Linked DNA regions of Rattus norvegicus. The protein of the gene in region 2 binds, or shares a complex with, the protein of the main gene of each other region. Links are inferred from orthologs where the notes say so. Each region holds a gene or a part of one and is shown on either strand. Other genes may lie near its edges.

Region 1 (4,759 bases), on a different chromosome or scaffold from region 2:
GCAAAGCTTTGAAATGGGACTGTAGAAGCATTTGCCTCATTTTGTCTTCCTGAAGCTGTAATGACTTCCAGTACTGCATGCATGTGGTGTGCACACATATATGCAAACAAGACAGTCATACCGATAAAGTACAATAAACGAAAAAAATAAATGAATGAGGTCATAATTAAACCATGCTCTGCTATTTGTAATCGATTAGGAGGAAGATTGTATGACTAGCATGTAAAGACAAGAAGACAAAGAGTCATTCTTACAGAAATGCGCGTAAGCAAGATTTGCACATCAGATTAGTGCTACTCCCCCTCAAAGGCGAAGCTTACACAAGACAGAAATTACACTCAGCTAAAGTCAGGTTAACTCATTTTATTGCTTCTCAGTCACATTCATTCTCCTGGCATCCTCCAGTCCTGGTGTCTGCAAGCTCCCAAGGAAAAAGGCCTGCCATTTCAACTGCTTTCAAAGTAGACTGACCTTACACATCCTTCCTTCCCTACCTCTGGCCTGGATGGACTGTTCCAGACTCACCGCAGAGGGGCCACCTTTCAGCAAAGAAATTCTATGATTCTAGGAACGTTGTATGCGTATTCTCTAATTATAAGCAAATTTCCAATCCATAGAACCAAAATAGTTCACCCTCATCCGCTGTCCAGCCCTTGACATCCCGTGTAGTCCTGCAGCGGAAGTCACGGCTGTCTTCCAGGGAGAGAAATACAATGGCATTTCCTAAAAGTTTGGTAAAGCACTGGGAGATAAGAGGTCTCTGAAGAACTATGTCACACTTCCAGTGACAGAGGGTTGTGTGGTGTCTGGCACCTTGTAGGTCCTGTTCCACAGAGCATGAGCAGTTTGGGGGACCCATGAAGTGTACCCAGATTTACTCCAGATTCTCATCATCAGTCTCAAACCTGACTTCCAAGAGGTAACCCCAAGGTCCCACTTTATTCCCCTGAGTTCTGGAGCATGCCTCATGTTTGGAGAGAATCTTTCTCCTCTTCCTCTCCCTCTCCCTCCCCCTCCCCTCTCCCTCCTCTTCTTCTTTCTTCTCCCCCTTCCCTCCCCTTCCCCCATGTTCCCATCCTCTCCCCATTCCCCTCCCCCTCCCCCTTCCCCTCCCCCTCCTCCCATCTCCTGTCAATGTAGCCTGTAGGCAGGTGTAAGCTGCTGGCTTTGCTTGTGCCGGTCCCTGGTCCCAGGTCCCTGGCTGCTAGGTTTAAGGTCTGTTGGTTTCTAGCAGAGAGAAGGCTGTTTGCACACACAGCAAGGCCACATCCAGGAAACAGGCTCACTTATTAGAGCAGCACTGAGCGATCGTAATCCTTACAGAACATTTTTTAGTGAGGGACAAGCTACCACTGCTCAGTGCTGTACACGGCACTGAACCCCACTAATCTTCTGTACCCTGAACCCCGCTAATCTTTTGTACCCTGAACCTCGCTAATCTTCTGTGCCCTGAACCCCACTAATCTTCTGTACCCTGAACCCCGCTAATCTTTTGTACCCTGAACCTCGCTAATCTTCTGTGCCCTGAACCCCACTACATCTTCTGTACCCTGAAGGCCACTACATCTTCTGTACCCTGAACCCCGCTAATCTTCTGTACCCTGAACCCCACTACAACTTCTGTACCCTGAACCCCACTACATCTTCTGTACCCTGAACCCCGCTAATCTTCTGTACCCTGAACCCCGCTACATCTTCTGTACCCTGAACCCTGCTACATCTTCTGTACCCTGAACCCCGCTACAACTTCTGTACCCCTTTGGAGAAACTTTTCAGTTTTCTTTTGTTTTGTTTTGCTCTGTTTGTATGGCCGTCTTGTCTGCATGTATCTCTGTGCACCACATTTGTGCAGTGCCATCGGAGGGCAGAAGAGGGCATTGGATCTCCTGGAAGTGGAGTTACAGACCACTGTAAGCTTCCACTTGGGTGCTGGACTGAACCTGGACCAGCTGCAAGAGCAGCCAGTGCTCTTAGCTGCTGAGCCATCTCTCCAGCCCTATTTAGAATTCTTTATACGTCTGTAAAATAGAAAATATGTCGTTTCCAATTCCTGTCTCTCTTGTTACTCTGTTTTCTATGTATTATTCCTTACACTGAAAGGGGATCTCAGTTGAATAATCTAGTTGATTGGCACGTATAGCTTGCGATCCAATCTTCCATAGACTCTATCCTTAAGAATATTCCAATTGTTTCATATCACCAGTGAGTTCACCACCAGGCAATAAGTTTTATAAGCAACTAAACACATTTCAGCTTCTCAGAGAAGACCCACCAACCACACAGGGTGCCTCTGAAGCACCCTGCATGCCGCTGGGTGGATGCATTCAGTTAGACTTGCCAAGACGACACATCTTAGTGGTCTGTCTTTAACATAATGTCCCTCGAGAAAGGTTTTGTTTTGTTTGAGACAGTCTCACTATATAACCCTGACCAATCTCCCAGTTAAGTTCTGTCTGGCTTATTCTTTACTTTGAGTCCTTGTCTTCCTATTCATTTTTCCCTCCAATTCCTGAACCGATGGAAAGAAAATCAGCTCTCATTATTGGAAATGGGTTACAACAGTTATTATTCAGGTTGAGAAAAACCTGTATGTCAAATAAAGAGGATGGAAAAAAACCCTTCCTCTTAGGTTTTACACACACACACACACACACACACATACACACACACACACACACACACACACACACACACACACACACAGAGAGAGAGAGAGAGAGAGAGAGAGAGAGAGAGAGAGAGAGAGAGAGAGAGAGAGACCTATGCATACAAGGAGCTACAAGGCTTCCCCAATACCTCTGTAGGTCAACAGTAGAGAGTTTCTCCTCTTCCCAACCTGGAGCCCATACTCACTGTAGATAGTCTGATGGGGTGTTCCGTCTACATGGCCATCCCTATGGATCTGTAGGTGATAGCTGTTCCTGGCTGTAGCTGTGTACAGGTGGGTCAGGCTCCCCCAGTTGGAGCCAAGCAGTGGGGAAGTGTCTGAATAGGCTCTAGCAGTGCCCAAGCTGCAGACGGTGCACAGAGCGCCCACCAGGAGTCTGAGGCAGGCCCCCAGCATCGCACAGCGCTGAGTGGCTATTGCTGAGGTTGAAATCTGACACTCCCAGACAGCCTGGGACCTCGCTGGCCTTACTGTCTTCTTCCTAGGAAGAAGCTGAGAACTGAGGTGGGGATCCTGGGCTAGATTCCCTCCTTTTTTCCCTGGGACTTTTAAAGGGTGGTGGTATGACATCAAGTAGGAAAAACAATGCTGCCACATCCTCTGTGTTGTAATCATCCATTCGAAGAAAAAGCCCAGACTTCTTAGGCTTGCGGAAGGCGCGTCAGTTCCAGGCACACACACACACACACACACACACACACACACACACACACATGCACGCACACACCCCTCAATTTCAAGCCAGTGCTCTCATAAGTGAACGATGTGTGGGCAAAAGTTATCTGTGACCCTGGGTCATCTGTTGACCTGTCCCACTTCCATCAGGAAATGTGAAGGCAGCCAGCAGTGCTAAAACAAAAAAAACAGAAAACCAGAAAGCCGCCTCCTCGCTAACTCATCTCCCTCCAGTGTACTTGTTTTGGTTTGCTCAAGCCTTCTACCTCCAGCAGCCAAGTGTGTGCTTGGAGCTACTCCGGGCTGCTGCAGGTGTCTTAATAGATAGAGATATGGGATGCTAGCAGGCAAACGAGACTCCCCCTATACACATACCTCAGGAAGGGTGAGTTAGGTGGGAGCAGAGCTCACCCCCCCCCCCATTACCATTCGCAAAGACCTCAAGACAAGAAGAAAGAAAACAAGGTCTTGAGGTCAGCAAAAATGGCAAGATCTGGTTTCTCAGTTTCCCTCGTTTGGATGACGCAGGGAACTAAACTGGCAATTATGGCTTTGCCAATAGGAAGGAGACTCATTTGGAGGACTGGAATGGCACTGCTGGCTGATCAGAGGGGTTAGAGGTCAGGAAACATCCAGGAGCTGCAGGACTGGGCACTTCCCCATCCGGAGTCCACATCCTGGGACCTTGTGTGAGTGGACGCCTCACTGCAGAAATTGCTCTGCGCGTGCCCTCTGAGGAGGTGCATCTGACTCAGCTGTGTGGGATGTGGGGAAGGAGGTTGAAGGCAGAACTAACACACACAGTCTATTGGAGGGCAGGCTGTTAGAACAGATATCAGTTCTGTTAGAATAGATATCCTATGACCACAAGGAGTGTTGTCACTCAGTGTCCCAGGTTACTGAGTTCCTACAATGCATAAGTGTTCCTTAAGATAGACTTCAGCGCTGATGAAAGAGAGAGTAAGATGTTACAAATCCAGCGGAGGAAGCAGATAAAGACAATTAGCCTTGTGCAAAGCACACAGATGCTTGCACATGGCTGAGGCTAGTAGCGATGCCCCTTCCACCTCCAATTCCAGTTGGGTCCAGGTTTCTGCAGTTTACAGAGTGTTTTCTCATCTGCTAGTACTTTGAACTTCATTGCAACTCTATAAGACAGGCGCACCATGCTACTAATGTTTGAAATATGTATTTATTATTAACTTACTTATTTACCAAGACAGGGTCTCACCATGTAGCCCTAACTGGCTTCTCACTCAACGGAGCTCTGCCTGCTTCTGTTTCCTGATAGCTGCGATTGATGATGTGCTCATTAAGGCTGGTCTTCAAAAAAAAAAAAGTGTGAGTGTGAGTATGCGTGTGTGTGCATGCGTGCATGCATATGGTGTGTATGTGTGTACACATGTGTATGTGTAT
Region 2 (3,995 bases):
CTCATCCTGACGCTGAGGGAATGTGTCAGAAGGCCCCGCCAAATGCCCACAAATGTTTCACAGCCTCAGCTCCACAAGAGAAAATACCCACCTGCCGCGTGGTCTTTTAAGGTCCACGTCTTCAGAACTCTTTCGGACTATTTTTATTCAACTCTGAACGGACTAAATTCGTAACCTCTCTACCAGAGCCATCCCAGAAAACGGTTTCTACTAAGTCTAACTAAAAACAAAATATGAAAGACCCTGTAAGATTCGGGGTAATGGGGTCAGTTCTCTAAACTAGGAAAGCCGTAGAAATGAGTGGGCAGGCAAAAGTCCACCTAATTTAGAGACTTACTGCCTTAGGTTCGACTAAAAAGTTTTTTAGTTTGGGGAAGGATGAGTGCCAAACACATATTTAATTTGTTATTGATAAAAGTTTCTCCTCACAGGAGTGGACAACAGTGTCGCTCCATGTTGTGTGTAATCTGCTTGACTTTGGTCAACCAACAGCATCAGGAGTTCTGAGCAAACTCAGGAGCTGGGACACTGGGTCTGAGCAAAGTGACACGCACCCCTCCCCCATGTGAATGTGCCCAGCTACAAACTTTTTTTTTTTTTTTTTTCGGAGCTGGGGACCGAACCCAGGGCCTTGCGCTTCCTAGGCATAGCGCTCTACCACTGAGCTAAATCCCTAACCCCTCAGCTACAAACTTCTAACAGATGGCGTGTAGCTAGGGGACACACACACACACACACACACACACACACACACACACGCGCGCGCGCGCGCTGCTTTGTTTTGGTTTTTGTCTTTCAAGACAGAGTTTCTCTGTGCAGCACTGGCTATCTTGAAACTCACTCTGTAGACCAGGCTGGCCACAAACTCAGAGATCCACCTGCCTCTGCCTCCTGAGTGCTGCGGTTAAGGTGTGGACCACCGTCACCCGGCTTAGGGGGATATTTTTAATTATTTGGGTAAAATGTACGCCATAACACTTGATTACGGAGCACTAACCAGGAGGGGGAAAGAGAAACTTTAGGGTTTAAAAAAAGAAAATCGGGGTAGCGGTAGAGCGCTTGCCTAAGAAGCGCAAGGCCCTGGGTTCGGTCCCCAGCTCCGAAAAAAAGAACCAAAAAAAAAAAAAAAAAAAAAAAGAAAGAAAAAAGAAAAAAAGAAAATCACTTCTCAAAGTTTCTTGGTGCAGTGGTTAATGTAGAAACTCACAGCTCAGGAACATCTAAGGACAGGAAGGATGTCAGAGCAGAGGTTGGGGAGGGTCAGAGATAGCATCTTTCAGCCATGACTTTTGTCTTCGTCACAAGGGTAACACAGCAACGCACACAGGGTTTTGTACACAATAGGCAGCCATCAAGTGCTTACTTAAATTATTCAGTCAAACCCCAAGAAACAAAGTCACTTTAAAACCAGGGAAACTAAAAAACCGGTTTTGAGGACTTCCTACACAGTTGATGCTCAATAAGTACTAATTGATCATTTTGGAGCACCACAGTGCTATCAATAAATCGTTGAAGCTGTGGTCTGCTCTCTCGAGGTGTTTTCTACGAGCCTGGAGCGGGGCATTTCCGGTGAGGAGGGATCTGTTAAACACTCCAGCCACGTTCTCAGCGGCTTCCCTGAGACTCTCTGGACTTCTGTGTTGAATCTTATTTATGAGAAACTTAACTTCCTGAGCAGGGATTTCAACCATAACCCTAAAGGGGTGTATTGTCTTAACAGAGCTTACATATTCATGTTTTGATTCTGTTTGCCCTTGGATCTAATAGAAAGCACAAGGTGTAGAGCGAAAGATGTTTGAAGACTGAAGCATGCTGGACTATGTAGTTCATAAGTTCTCTAGGGAGCTCTGTTTGGCTCAAAGTTCCTGATGCTGCGCCGCCCTGGCAAGAGCCTGGCGAGGAAGCAGGAGACCTGCTGATACTGCTGACAGGCTTTGTCAACTGACTTACTTGAATGTAGTTGTCAACCACTCCCCAAGCAAAGTCACAGGGAAACGTCCCTTCAAGGGGCTGGTTCTCAGGTAAAGGAGGGAAGCCATTGTTCTCTATCAGCTTTTGGTAGAACAAGGCCGAAGACTTGGGCAACAACTCCTTGTCCTGACTCAGAAAGTCGACATAGAAGAGTCCTCGTCGGATGCTGTAGCCCCTGTGCCACTCGAAACCATCCATGAGGGACCATGCGGTGTACCCAATGACGTCGACCCCATCCAGCCTGATGGCTGCAGAAGGAAGAGAGGACAAGAGTGGTGTCATCCCCCACTGGGCTTTGTGTGATTCAAGAGCAGAGAGGGGTTTTCCACTTAAAGAAACAAGGCAAGGGACTGGAGAGATGGCTCAGTGGTTAAAAGCACTGGCTGCTCTTCCAGAGGACCCAGGTTTGGTTCCCAGCATCCACGTGGTGGCTCGCAACTCTAACCAGTGCACGGGATCCAACGCCCTCTTCTGGCCTCTGTGGGCATCGCATACACACATGCAGGCAAAAACTCACATAGGTAAAATAAAAATGAAATCTCAAAAAAAAAAAAAAGATACAGAAACAAGTCAGATGTAATGCTTCTTGTTTGGTAAACACTTTTTTTTTTTCTGGTTTACAAAAGGCCCTAGCAGTTGCTCAGTACCAGGGGTGCTAGGGTGACTTGTTCCTAACCTGGGGACCTAACATCGTGACCGTGTCTTCTTTTTTTTTCTTGTGCTGTGGATGGGACCAAGGGCCTTGGGTTGCCAGTAAATACTGTATACCTGACCCACTTCCGTAGTCTTTAAAGCTCAATTTATCTAGGTCATATGAATATTCCTTTTGCTTTAAAAAAAAGCGTTTTATTGAAAGAGGGAGCTAGTTGTGGTTACAAATGATCAACATGCATTGTATAAATGTATGGCAATTTTGAAGAATAAAAAAAATTAAAGGAAAAGCATGTTATTCCGCTGAAACAAATGAGCTAGGAATATATACAGAGGGCTCGATAATCTGAGGTTTTTAATACTGTATTATATGATATAATAATGTATCTGAGAGACTGTGAATCCACTGATTCTAAATATTCATCTTGTTTTCAGCAGATTATTAAAATTCCTTTTATGAAACTTCGAAAATTAAGTTTCCGAAGGGTCCAAAAAAGAGCAGGGTTACATAATAGATTCTCCCCACCGCTTAAATTGTGACAAAAATCATATACCCACATTTTGCAGGTAGTCTTAAAAGGTGTATGTGGTATGTTGTGTGTGTGTGTGTGTGTTCCCGTGTATGAGATGTGTGGCACATGTCATATTGATGTGTGTGGTATATGATGTGTGTGTTTAATATGTGATTTTTGTGTATGTGTATATGGTATGGTGTGTATATGATACATATATATGCATGTGTGTGTACAGTATGATATATGTGGTATGTGTGTGGGTGGGTGTGTATGTGGGAGTATGCATGTGTGAATTTTGGCAAAAAAAATGGGAATTTTACTTGAGAGCTTACCTTTTAAGCTTTCCATTATGAACTTCTTGAGATAATACATGTATTTGGCATCATCTCTTCTGGTGGTCCCCGAGACAAACCAGCCATTTTCTACAATAAATATCTGAGGGTGGTTATACTCCAGATCTATCCAAGACAGAAGCTGCCTCAGGCTGGGAGACTCCAGCTGGCGGAACTTCATGCTGGGGTCCAGTAGTTGAAAGCTCAAGGTTGGTCCGAAGGAGAGAGCAAAGAAGTCAGCTGTTCCCCTGATGAATCTCTTCTCGGATTCAGTAAAATCGGGCAGCAGGGATGAGAGGTTGTTCTTCATACTCTTTGGGTAGTCGCCATCGATAAATATGGGCTTGGCAAACCAGCCTAGCACGAAGTCAAGAGACTTCTGACACTCTCTGATGTGATAGTCGGTCATCCTTCGAGGGGTGATCCAATGGGAACCTAAGGCGATGGACACCCGGCCCCCCTGAGTGGGGCGGAAGGAGGTGTTGTAGAGACGCCAGACTTTGGCGTGAGCCTACGAAGGAAAAAA

The links. The genes of interacting proteins can lie anywhere in the genome.
Region 1: the proteins of Kl (region 2) and Fgf23 are in contact, whole or in part, in a cryo-EM structure (PDB 7YSH), measured with the Homo sapiens proteins. The link is inferred for Rattus norvegicus from reciprocal best matches to the Homo sapiens genes KL and FGF23. Residues at the interface, in NP_004786.2 of Homo sapiens: Phe377, Lys385, Leu389, Glu390, Pro392, Trp417, Phe418, Ser420, Lys429, Tyr432, Tyr433, Lys436, Phe437, Arg468, Ser471, Ile472, Arg556, Arg693, Asn694, Met695, Thr696, Tyr697, Ile735, Val752, Phe755, Asp756, Asn782, Asn783, Leu785, Ile812; in NP_065689.1 of Homo sapiens: Leu39, Met74, Ala80, Val88, Arg91, Leu166, Ile167, Phe169, Asn170, Ile173, Arg175, His177, Asp184, Ser185, Glu186, Arg187, Asp188, Pro189, Leu190, Asn191, Val192, Leu193, Lys194, Pro195, Arg196, Ala197, Arg198, Met199, Thr200, Pro201.

The regions. Positions count from the first base shown.
Region 1 is NC_086022.1:161,598,870-161,603,628, reverse strand, and holds the start of Fgf23 (fibroblast growth factor 23 precursor), read right to left. Parts: upstream 3,191-4,759; 5' UTR 3,065-3,190; coding exon 2,854-3,064; intron 1-2,853. UniProt on the Homo sapiens protein: Regulator of phosphate homeostasis. Inhibits renal tubular phosphate transport by reducing SLC34A1 levels. Up-regulates EGR1 expression in the presence of KL. Acts directly on the parathyroid to decrease PTH secretion. Regulator of vitamin-D metabolism.
Region 2 is NC_086030.1:5,356,759-5,360,753, reverse strand, and holds part of Kl (klotho precursor), read right to left. Parts: intron 3,981-3,995; coding exon 3,470-3,980; intron 2,220-3,469; coding exon 1,951-2,219; intron 1-1,950. UniProt on the Homo sapiens protein: May have weak glycosidase activity towards glucuronylated steroids. However, it lacks essential active site Glu residues at positions 239 and 872, suggesting it may be inactive as a glycosidase in vivo.